Linked DNA regions of Callithrix jacchus. The main gene of each other region encodes a partner of the protein of the gene in region 3 in a complex. Links are inferred from orthologs where the notes say so. Each region holds a gene or a part of one and is shown on either strand. Other genes may lie near its edges. The genes, in order: SHISA6, HTR2C and DLG4.

Region 1 (4,169 bases), about 4.0 Mb from region 3:
AGTGCAGAGGAAGGAGGGAACCGAGATAGCAGCAAATGAGGAGCTGTGTGTGTGTGTGTGTTGGGGGGTGTCTGTGCACCCTCCCCCCAGCAGACGCCAGCCAGTATCAGGATCTCCCTCTTGTGTGTTGGAGTCTGAGTTCCAGATCCAATATATATCCACTCCACAGTTCCCAGAAGAGGAACTCTTCTGTTCCTTGATAGCGATCCCTTGTTTGGGTCACACATGAGTGGGACTGAACAGAAAGTCTCAGGGAAAATTCTCTACCGCCCTCACTCTGACAGTCTGTTCCCTTCAGCGAAAGCACGCCGGTCATGCAGGCAGAATCCTGGCCTTGGCCATCGCTTTTTGTTCTCAGTTCTCCCTAACTCCTCCGAGGACACATACCAAGGATGGTAACTATGATTCTCTTTTGGGGTGGCCTCATAGCTGTGAAAGTTAGACTCAGGCCTCCTTTCCAGACCCAGGTACGAAACTACCCCAGTAAGCCCCCGTCTCTGCATCTCCATCCTCCTCACCTCCCTTAGCAGCTGCAGCATAGGGATTTCAACACAGGGGTTACAAAGCTGAGTCTCAGAGGTTCAGACAGCTTTCTAATGGCCTTGAAGTTCCCAGGGGTGGGTGGGAGAAAGTCTAGCAGAGTTGCCACCCAGTCCTGGGGCTGTCTAGCGCCTTTCTACGTGGTGGGGACGGGGCTGGGGAAAGAACGACCAAGAGGAAGAAAGTATAGGCTTAGCTCACGGGTCGCCCAATAGCCTCAGACAAGCCACTTGACCCCTGGACTCAGTTTGGGAATCTGTAGCAATGGGTTTGACCTTTTCTCCTGGCTATCACCACTAGGGAGAGGCAAAGGCTTGCAGAAACCCCAACTCCTGTTCTGGCCGCACGCTTTGCGGGGCCTAGGTAGGGTGGGGACGGGTCGCGAGGGCTGGAGGGGGCAGTGGCGGGGGAGGTCTGTCCCTGCCGCGGGCCGTCTGCACAGTGGACCTTCCGTCCTGCTCCCGGCCCCCTCTTCGCCTGCCCAGTTCGCCGCGTTAACTGCTGTCCCGGGCTTTCGTGACGCTGAGCTTCAAGTGCCGCGATCGGGCAGAAGCAAAAAGGAGTCCCCCCGGCCCCCCCCGCCACGCCCCGCACCCTGAGCGCCCGGGCGTGCAAACGTGGGCGGCGGAGAGCCACTGCCCTCCCCTCGCCTCTCCCCCGCCCCTCGCGGCGCTCCCGTGTGTGCGGGTGTGTGAGTGCGTGTGTCTCCGTCGCTCCCTCTCGCACACGCTCCGGCACTAGTGCAGGCGGCGAGCCGGCAGCTCTCCGCTCGCTCGCTCGCTCCGGCCGCTGCGCTCCCGCCCCGCCGCCGCCGCCGCCGCCTCTGCAGTCGCAGCTGGGCATGGTGAGTGAGTGAGGTCCAGCCGCCGCGCGTTCCCCCGGCTCGCAGCCGGACCCCAGCCTCAGCCGTCTCCGTCCCAGGGAGCCAGCCTGCGGCGGGAGCGCGCTGTACGGCCGGGCGGCGGGGGACCAGGGCGACCGAGCTGTGCCTGGAGGGGCGGCCGGTGCGCCCTCAGTTCCAGGCGCGCAGGGCCGCGGGACGCGTCTTGGGAGCAGGCGCTACGCCCTCTCCCTGCCCGGAGCCTCGCTCCTCGAGGGCTGCGCGCACCCTCCCAGCCCGCCTGCCCCCGGTTCCCCTCCTGCTCTCAGAGCACCAGTCGCCCCACCCCGTGACCGGCTCCCCGTCTTGTCCCGCAGGACCCGCCCGGACGGGACCACGCCGCCGCCGCCCGGAGCCGCGCTTCGGGTCCTGCCTGAGTCGAGCCGCGCGCGGGGCCGCCGCCACCGCCGGCGGGGGATGGGGCTACCCGGGAGGCGCGCGGAGCCCACAGGGGGAGCGCGGAGCCAGCGCGCAGCCTGAGAGCCGGAGCAGCCCGCGCCGGGCCGGTCCGTGCGCACCGCGCGCCGCCGCCACCGCCACCGCCACCGCCGCCCGCGCCTGGATGGCGCCATAGCCCCGGCGCCGCTGACCGCTCCGCGCCTCCAGCCCGGCCCGCGCCGCGGTCCTCCTAGCCTGGCCGGCCGGGGGAGCGGCCTGCCGCGGAAGCCTCCCCGCGCCCTCCCGCCCGGCCCCGCCATGGCGCTGCGGCGCCTCCTGCTGCTGCTGCTGCTCTCGCTAGAGTCCCTGGACCTGCTGCCCGGCGCCCACGGAGCCCGCGGTCGTGCCGCCAACCGGACCCTGAGCGCGGGCGGCGCTGCTGCCGTCGGGGGCCGGCGGGCCGGGGGCGCACTGGCCCGGGGCGGCCGCGAGCTGAACGGCACCGCCCGGACGCCTGGAGTCCCGGAGGCGGGAAGCCGGCGGGGGCAGCCCGCGGCGGCGGTGGCGGCGGCGGCGGCGGCGGCCAACGCGGCCGTCACCTACGAGACGTGCTGGGGCTACTACGACGTGAGCGGCCAGTACGACAAGGAGTTCGAGTGCAACAACAGCGAGAGCGGCTACCTATACTGCTGCGGCACCTGCTACTACCGCTTCTGCTGCAAGAAGCGCCACGAGAAGCTGGACCAGCGCCAGTGCACCAACTACCAGAGCCCGGTGTGGGTCCAGACGCCCAGCACCAAGGTGGTGTCGCCGGGGCCCGAGAACAAGTACGACCCGGAGAAGGACAAGACCAACTTCACCGTCTACATTACCTGCGGGGTGATCGCCTTCGTCATCGTGGCCGGAGTCTTCGCCAAGGTCTCCTACGACAAGGCCCATCGCCCTCCGCGGGAGATGAACATCCACAGGTGAGAGCGCCGCGTGCTGCGCGCCCGGGTCGGTCTCCCTGCGGCCTCACCCTCTCCGCTTGCTTCGCCTGTCCTCTTCACTCTCGGCATCGTCACACCTCCTCTGGCCCTCTTAAGTCAGTTTACCCTCGTTCCTTTTGCATGCAATAAATCAGGGCGTTCTTGGGCCCCCTCCTCCATTTTTTTCCCCCAGAACCGGGAACGCATGCTTTGGTGGTCGGGGATTTACAAGACAGAGTAAGAATTGGTTGAGTGCGTGAAGTTCCAAGTGTAAGAATGTTCGAAATGCTGTAATCCTGAATGAGGATCCAGGGTTCTGTTTTCCTGGCATATGGGCACCTCGGTGTAGGCTCATGGCATTGAGTTTTTTTGAGTCAAATCAGAGTGTCATCTTCAGTATAGGGAACTGACCAGTGTTGGATGGAACCTTACTGAAAGGGGTACCAAGTGGCTTAGGGTCAACTGGGATGTTCTTGTGCATTAGGAATTAGGGTTTTATAGAAAGGATGCCTCCTGCCGGAAGAAGGGATAAAGATTCCTCCATTCCATGTTGACCAAGCACAGATGGTGTCTCTTCATTGCATCCTGTGGAGTGGGATGTTTGTCTTTCCTGCTGAGACTTGAGGACTTGTTCTTTGAAACCCTGTAGGCAGAACTCTGAGTTAACAGTTCTTGCCTGTGTTAAACCTGGCGGGGCATCTTTCACTGTTTATGTGAGAGAGGCGGCGGCAGCGCGGTGGGGGGTGGGGTGGGGGGGTTGCCTCCTACCAAAACTTACACCAAGAGCTCAAACTATGGCAGTCCCTGGTTCCACTCTGAATGCTGCCCGTTACACTGCCTTGGCCCCCAGTGAGCCCTTGGGGAAGTCAAAGCCAAGAGGAGGACAGAAACCCAGCTTCCCCCTTAGAACTCTAGGAATGACACACCCAGGGGATGCAGAGTTAGCTTGGCTTCTAGTCCCCTTATGATGATGGATGACTGGACATGATGCAAAAGTCCTCTCAGGGAACAAATCTTGCCCCAGGAGGTACCTCCATTTCTGGTGCATGGTGCTGCCCTAGTCACTGTGACCACCTCGCAGATCACTCCTTATGAGTTGGCCCTGCAGGCTCCCACGCTGACCTATTCACCTTGAGCTCATCTCCACGTCCTGCTTGCTTGTTATCCTTACCACCTGAAAACCTCCTTCCTAACCACCTGAAAACTGCCTTCCTCACTGCGTGCTCATTAATCACCCCTGCCTTGCTGAAGAGAGAGAAAGGCAGAGAGAAATTTCTAGGCATGCTAAAAGAGCTGATTTTTTTTCTTGCTTGATATTGTGGGTGTTGAGAGAAACGATACTCCCTGTCAGGTTTTATTGAGTCAAATCCACAAAGGGTGGGTACCTCAAACTCGGATATTGG
Region 2 (3,645 bases), on a different chromosome or scaffold from region 3:
AAAGACTATTCTTTCTTTGTTGAAATGTCTTTTAGTACAAAAATTAATTGCTTATATTTGTGGATTTCTGGATCCTCTACTTATATCCATTCATATATGTACTTTTCCTTCCAACAATACCATTCTTCTTGATTACTGTAGCTTGACAGTAAGTCCTAAATTCCAGTATTATGAGTTCTCCAATTTTGCTGTTTTACAAAACTGTTTCAGCTATTGTAGTTCTTTTGCCTTTTTGCATAAATTTTAGAAACAGCTTTTTAATTTAAAAAAATCTGCTGAGATTTTTGGTTGAAATTGTGTTGAATATACAGATCCTTTGAGGGCGAAATGACATTTTATAATATTGATTCTTCTAATCCATAATCAGAATAGATCTCTCCATTTATATGGGTCTTTAATTTATTTCATCAGTGTTTTGAAGATCGTAGCACACAGGTACTGCACATAATTTGGTAGATTTACACTTACGATTTTATGATTTTTATGATATTATAAATGGGACTCTTTTAAATTTTGACTTCCAATTCCCATCGCTACTGGGCTTTGCATTGTAAGAGCTTGCTAAACTTACTTAATAGTTACTCCAGTTATCTGTGAATGCATAACAAATTATCCCCCAAATTAGTAGCTTAAGAAAACATTAATTATTTCACAGTTTTTTGTGAATCAGGCATCGGGTCATATCATATACTCTTCTTTAGCATGTTTCAAGGCTAAAATCAAGGTGTCAGCCAGGTTGACAGGTGTCAGCCAAGGTGTCACCTTAAGGCTGAACTGGAGAAAAGTCCACTTCAGTGAGCTCACTCATGTGGCTCATATAACTGGCTGGCTTTTGGGTTGAAGGCCTTGGATCCACATTGGATGTTGGAGGCTTCTCTCAATTCCTTGCCTTGTGGGTCTCTCTATAGGACAGTTTACAACATGGCAGCTTGCTTCATCAGAGCAAACAGGTGAATGGGCAAGAGAGATTGCCAGCAATAGAGAAAGTGCAAGCAAGAAATAAGTCACAGTCTTTTATTAATGTAATCTCAGAAATAGCATCCAATCACTTCTGCTCTATTCTCACACCAACAGAGAGGGGATCATTGTGGCAAGGATCATTCAGGGCCATTTTAGAAGCAGGATGCTGTATTATTTCTAGGAGCTTCTTTGTGGATCCCTTGTGATTTTCTATGTAGACATTATATTATCTTTAAACAAAACAGTTTTACTCCTTTCTTTCCAACCTGCAGTATGTTGTTGAATAAGAGTAGTGAAAGTAGACATTCTGATCTTATTCTTGAACTTCAGGTGAAATCATTCAATCTTTCACCGTAAAGTACAATGTCTGCTTAAGGATAATTGTGGATCCCCTTTATCAAGTTGAGGAACTTCCCTTCTATTCCGAATTTTCTGATAGTTTTAATCTTTTTTTTTTTGAGACAGGGTCTCATTCTGTCACCCAGGGTGAAGTACAGTGACACGATCATGGCTCACTGCAGCTTCAGCCTTCTTGGGCTCAGATGATCCTCACATCTCAGCCTCTGTATCAGATGGGGTTACAGGCAAGCACCACTATCCCTGGCTAATTTTTGTATTTCTTTTTCTGTTTTTTTTTTTGTAGAGCTGGGGTTTCCCAATGTTGGCCAGGCTGGTTTCAAACTCCTGAGCTCAAGTGATCTGCCTGCCATAGCCTCCTAAAGTGCTAGGATTACAGGCATGAGTCACCACGCCCCTCCACTTGTGATGATTTTAGATCAATCTTAGGCTTCCTAATAGCTTTCCCCTAGTTTATTTCATGCTGTTTCTCCTGGAATACTCTTCTTCTACATAACAGCATGGGGTAAGAGCCTAATACATAGTTCATTGTGATTTCCTGTTTGTTTTTCTCCTTACAGGTAATTTGAAATTTGAATGTTGCCTACACTTAATGGTGGTATTGTGTAGGCTTTTTTGGTTTTCTTATTGTTTTTTGTTTATTTGGGCAGGAAAATAGATATGTTAAGAGACTTGGATTTATGCTAATACCATTATTTGGCCACTCACTTTTTTTTTAAAGGGAGAAGCTGGCAAAACAGACACAACAGAACAAAGTATACTTTCTAAATCACAGTTTCACTTCATTCTAGTAACCTTTTCTTAATTTTGGAGCAACAGAGTGTTAAAATGCCCACTGAGCCGATAAAATACTGGTCCTTTGAGGGCAATACATCACTGAAACTCGATGAAGAATAAGAAAGGCATATTTTCTGAGAACACTTTATAAAATACCTATTAAGATAGTCTACTATTGCTGTAGGTTTAAAACAGGCTAACTAATTTTTATATTTCATGAGAGATTATTTTCTAGATGTATTTATTTTCTTTTAAGATTCAACAAGTAGATACACTTTCAATATTATTTCTTCTAGTCTAATTCCATTATACACTCCAGACAACTGGAAGTCTATTTTACTTCTTTGCGAGATAAGCATATTAGCAATTAAATTCAAACTGGGCTCTCCAACATCCTAGTAAAGATCATTTGTAGAATCGCATAAACAATTTTGATTGTTCATCATAAATATTAGCTAGAAACAAAACCTTAGGTTAAAATGAACAGAATGAAGGGATGGAAGAAAATCAAAAGAAAAATTTAAAAACCTCTTTAAAATCAATATATTGAAACTTTCAATGCCTGAATATTTATAGTGATAATGTGAACTGGCACTTAAATACTTAGTAATTAATTTGCTATCTCTTGTCTAATAACACAAATCATAGACTCCATCAACAAGAAGAATATCTATTATTGAGTGCTTACTTTGTGCCAAGCACTTAGTTTGGCAGCTTTAAAAAGGATTTCTTAAAATATATTTATTAATGAGGATGAGCCTGTTTTTCCTTCTTGGTATCAGAGATGGTAGTAGGTATGTGTACTTCCCAGAACACAGGGGTTGAAAGATGTTTCTGTTACTGTTCCATTCAGTACACATTGTAAGGCAACTAACTGTTCATTCATTGTTTAAAAAGACACTAAGCAAGAAAGCAACTATGTATGATTTTAGTACATTATAAAATGTCTGTTTTGCTTTTTGAAGACTGCTACTGATTTATTTAATAAATATGATACATACATCCAATTCCTTCTGTCACACAATTTGCTTTTTTCTTTTTCCAGATGTTACAAGTAAAATAATTAATTTTATGAGTGTTTACTATAACACAACTTATAACACAAACTGGCACAAACTTATAACATAATATGAGATTGAAAAGTGAAAAAAATTGTACTTACCATAAAGTATTGCAAGGAGAGACAGGGGCATGACAAGTAGTCCCACTAGCATATCTGCAATGGCTAGGGACATTAAGAAGTAATTGGTGGCATTGTGCAGTTTCTTTTCCATGCTCACTGCCATGATAACGAGGATGTTGCCACCTATTGTCATGATTATTATTATGACGATTGCAAGTGCTGGCCAGTTTTGTACCCCGTCTGGGAATTTGAAGCGTCCACCATCGGAGGTATTGAAAATGTCAGTTACTAGAGCAGCTACTGGGCTTACAGAAATATCGCATTGCCAAACCAATAGGCCAATTAGGTGCACACTGAAAATTAAGAAGAAAAAAAACCAATCAGGTACATGTTATATTGCTTATATACAATATGTTTCTCATGCAAAA
Region 3 (3,645 bases):
CAAGTGATCCTCACACTTTGGCCTCCCAAGTGCTGGGATTACAAGCATGAGCCACCGCACCTGGCCACCCTTAACTTTTTTTTCCTTTTTTTTTTTGAGACAGAGTTTCGTTCGTTACCCAGGCTGGAATGCAATGGCGCGATCTCGGCTCATCGCAACCTCCGCCTCCTGGGTTCAGGCAATTCTCCTGCCTCAGCCTCCTGAGTAGCTGGGATTACAGGCACGCACCACCATGCCCAGCTAATTTTTTGTATTTTTATTAGAGACGGGGTTTCACCATGCTGACCAGGATGGTCTCAATCTCTTAACCTCGTGATCCACCCACCTCGGCCTCCCAAAGTGCTGGGATTACAGGCTCGAGCCACTGAGCCCGGCTTAACTTTTTTTTTCTTTCTTTCTTTTTTTTTTGAGATAGAGTCTCCCTCTGTTGCCAGATTGGAGTACAGTGGCAAAATCTTGGTTCACTGCAACCTCTGCCTCCCAGGTTCAAGCAATTCCCCTGCCTCAACCTCCAAGTAGCTGGGACTACAGTCATGCACCACGTCCAACTAATTTTATAATATATATATATATTAGAGACAGAGTTTCACCATGTTGGTCAGGATAGTCTTGATCTCCTGACCTCATGATCCGCCCCCCTTGACCTCCCAAAGTGCTGGGATTACAGGCATGAGCCACTCTGCCTGGCTGACTTTTTATGAATCATATTTAAGAGATTTCTTAATATTGAGCCATCTTTAGTTTTCTGAAACAAACCCTATGTTATTCCCTTACAATGCTGCCATGTTTGGTTTGCTACTATATTGTTGTAAACTTTTGCATCTCTATTCAAAAGCAAAACTCTCCTTATTTTATGTTATCTTTGTGACCATTTGAACTGGCCTTACACAATGAAATGTGAAATCTTATATCTTTTCCTGTACTCTAAAAGAACAGAAAAATTATCTATCTTTTGAGAATTTCGTAAAATTAGTCATCAAACCACCTGGGCTTTGTGCCTTCTGGGGGAGAGATCGTTGACAATCTTCTCTAGTTCCTTATGGTAACTGATTTTTCCATCTCTTCTCCAGCCACAGCAAGGATCAGCGATTGTGGCTATTTCATGGGGAATATCTGAAGAAGGACAGCTACAGGGATGTCATGGGGCTGCATGTCATGGGGTTAAACAGGATGGGTCATGGGGAGCTTTGGCATTTGAAGGGCTCTCACAGGTTGTGATGTCTGGGGGAGCATAGCTGTCACTCAGGTAGGCATTGCTGGGCTTGGCCACCTTTAGGTAGACAACATCATACGTGTTCTTCAGGGCTGCCACAGCATCTTCATGCATGACATCCTCCAACCCCACACTGTTGACCTGGAGTCAAGGAAAGCAAAGTTCAAACAAAGCCACAGATGGCCCAAGACAGAGGGACTGGGGTGAAGTGATGAACTTGGGCCTGTCCAGGGCTAGTAGGTGAGACCCAGATCTGGGCTAGAAAATGGGCTAGATGGGGTCCTCACCGCCAGGATCTTGTCTCCAATCTGCAACCTCCCATCCTTGTGGGCAGCACCCCCTTCGATGATCTTTGTTACATAGATGCTATTATCTCCTGGGATGTGCTGGTTCCCTACGCCCCCTGCGATGCTGAAGCCAAGACCTGGATGGAGGGGAGGCCAGAGGTGGGTGCCCAGGTGCCCAGGAAGCAGGCTTTGGGGCACAGGACAGTTGGGATGAGGATGGGAACAAAATGAGTTGCTACCTTTAGGCCCTTTGATGAGCTTTATCTCCATGACCTTCTCAGCCGGGGGCTTCCGACGCATGACATAGAGGCGAACGATGGAGCCTGCCTCTTTGAGGGCCTCCACTGCCGCTGAGTGGGTCACCTCACGCACGTCCACTTCATTTACAAACAGGATGCTGTCGTTGACCCTGGGAACAACAAGGTGGGCCTAAGCCAAGGGCTTCCTGCTGCCCTGGCCCTCCCTCTCAAGGGACCAGCATCCTAACCCGTCTCCTCTCCCCACCTGAGGCGGCCATCCTGGGCCGCAGCCCCACCAGGAATTATCTTGGTGATGAAAATGGACGGATCGTCACCGATGTGTGGGTTGTCAGTGCCACCTGCGATGCTGAAGCCCAGACCTGAGTTACCCTGGATGAAGGAGGGGAAGAGGTCAGCTCCCCTCACTGCCCAATTCTGGCAAGGTAAGTGGGGTGGGAAATGGCTTGGAGAGTGGTAGAGAGTGGCAGCCAGAGCAGGAAGGGACAGGATGAGGGGCTGACCATACAGACCACATGGGCATAAAGAAAGGTACAGATCAGGAGCTAAGGGGACCACTGATGGAGGAGCCTGCTCACCCTTTCCAATGTGATCTCCTCGTATTCCATCTCCCCCTCGGTCCCGTTCACCTGCAACTCCAGCACGGGATAGAAACACAAAAGCAGTGAGACAGACATTCCCGCCTGACAACCTGCCTGTCATCTGCTGCCCTCCCTTACTCCCTCCTTTCTTCTACCATGGTCCCAGCCCCAAAATCTAAACAACTCACATATCCTGGGGCTTCTAGGGTATCTGTGTTGACAATCACAGGGGGAGAATTGGCCTGTTCGGGGAAATAAGAGACAAAAAGCCTCCTGAGCCTTGACTCAAGAGGGAGCCCGTAACGGAGGTCCCATCAGCGTGGCTACCCCTTAGCCTCTCAGCCAAGCCCACTCCCCCACCCTGAGAGCTGCTCAAGGACCCAGCCTCAATGCACACCACACAGGCCCACGCGCACACACATACCACAGATGCACATACACACCACTCTAACTTTGCCCAGCCCAGGCCCCCTGCATGTGGAAGGAGGTGTAAGAAAAGCGGGAAGGGAGACAGCCAGACAGAGAGGGGAGCAGCAGATGGCAGAGTGGGGAGAGGGGGGTAGGCTTGGGGGAAGGGAGCTTCTCACCGGATGTAACACCACATGCCTTATATGCTACACACGGACACCCCAGGGCTCAAGTCCACCGGCTCCTGGTCCCACTTCCTGCTCCATCCCCCCAACCCCTCCATATCTACCCAAATATCTTCATAACCCTCCCCTAGACTTGTCCCTCACCTTCACACACATTTGCCCTAAACCCTGCGCCTCGGGAATCCGGGGTTTCCCCAGCTGCAGGCCCCTCCCTCGGTCTCAGCTACCAGCCGTCCAATCCACCCCTTCCTCTAGGGACCGTGTTGCCTAGCAACGGTATCTAGGACCAGCCAAGACCCGGGGAGACCCACCTCCAGGAGGCCCTGTCGTCAGGACAACAGGGGGGTGGGGCGTGGCCTGAGGCCGACCAGGCTCCCGAGTGCAGAAGGGATCCGCTAACCCCGCCTCTCCTGCCCTGGGCCCCGCCCCGCGTTAGCCAGGCCGAGAGGAGGCCAGGCTGAAGAGGTTTGAGGGTGCAGCGCATCCTGAACAACCTGCCTTCCTCTCTCCCCCACGCCCCTCACCCTATGCAGTGCAAAGGACGTCAGGAAGGAGGCGTGGAGAAAGACATCCGGGTCCTATACCCCTCCTCTACTCCCTCCCCCTACTTCTTTCGGGGAAAGGGTTAAAGTGGGGCGTGCCCAGGTCCCTGACGTCAATTGCCTGGTCTCTAGACTCCCAGGCGGGGCCAGCTTTAGGCTGGTCCTAGGGGCT

Evidence for each region.
Region 1: DLG4 (region 3) and SHISA6 share a complex: the UniProt entries of both Homo sapiens proteins name them as parts of the postsynaptic hippocampal AMPA-type glutamate receptor (AMPAR) complex. The link is inferred for Callithrix jacchus from reciprocal best matches to the Homo sapiens genes DLG4 and SHISA6.
Region 2: the proteins of DLG4 (region 3) and HTR2C are in contact, whole or in part, in an NMR structure (PDB 2MHO), measured with the Rattus norvegicus proteins. The link is inferred for Callithrix jacchus from reciprocal best matches to the Homo sapiens genes DLG4 and HTR2C. Residues at the interface, in NP_062567.1 of Rattus norvegicus: Gly74, Leu75, Phe77, Ser78, Ile79, Ala80, Asn85, Pro86, His87, Ile88, Thr97, Lys98, His130, Val134, Leu137, Lys138; in NP_036897.2 of Rattus norvegicus: Val452, Val453, Ser454, Glu455, Arg456, Ile457, Ser459, Val460.

Annotation. Positions count from the first base shown.
Region 1 is NC_133506.1:77,672,788-77,676,956, forward strand, and holds the start of SHISA6 (protein shisa-6), read left to right. Parts: upstream 1-1,276; 5' UTR 1,277-1,384; exon of another isoform or gene 1,385-1,737; 5' UTR 1,738-2,116; coding exon 2,117-2,766; exon of another isoform or gene 2,767-2,854; intron 2,855-4,169. UniProt on the Homo sapiens protein: Involved in maintenance of high-frequency synaptic transmission at hippocampal CA3-CA1 synapses.
Region 2 is NC_133524.1:110,943,091-110,946,735, reverse strand, and holds part of HTR2C (5-hydroxytryptamine receptor 2C), read right to left. Parts: intron 3,571-3,645; coding exon 3,257-3,570; intron 1-3,256. UniProt on the Homo sapiens protein: G-protein coupled receptor for 5-hydroxytryptamine (serotonin).
Region 3 is NC_133506.1:73,692,932-73,696,576, forward strand, and holds part of DLG4 (disks large homolog 4), read right to left. Parts: intron 3,463-3,645; exon of another isoform or gene 3,088-3,462; coding exon of another isoform or gene 3,076-3,087; intron 2,581-3,075; coding exon 2,527-2,580; exon of another isoform or gene 2,526-2,526; intron 2,395-2,525; exon of another isoform or gene 2,393-2,394; coding exon 2,336-2,392; intron 2,130-2,335; coding exon 2,005-2,129; intron 1,910-2,004; coding exon 1,740-1,909; intron 1,638-1,739; coding exon 1,501-1,637; intron 1,355-1,500; coding exon 1,210-1,354; intron 1-1,209. UniProt on the Homo sapiens protein: Postsynaptic scaffolding protein that plays a critical role in synaptogenesis and synaptic plasticity by providing a platform for the postsynaptic clustering of crucial synaptic proteins.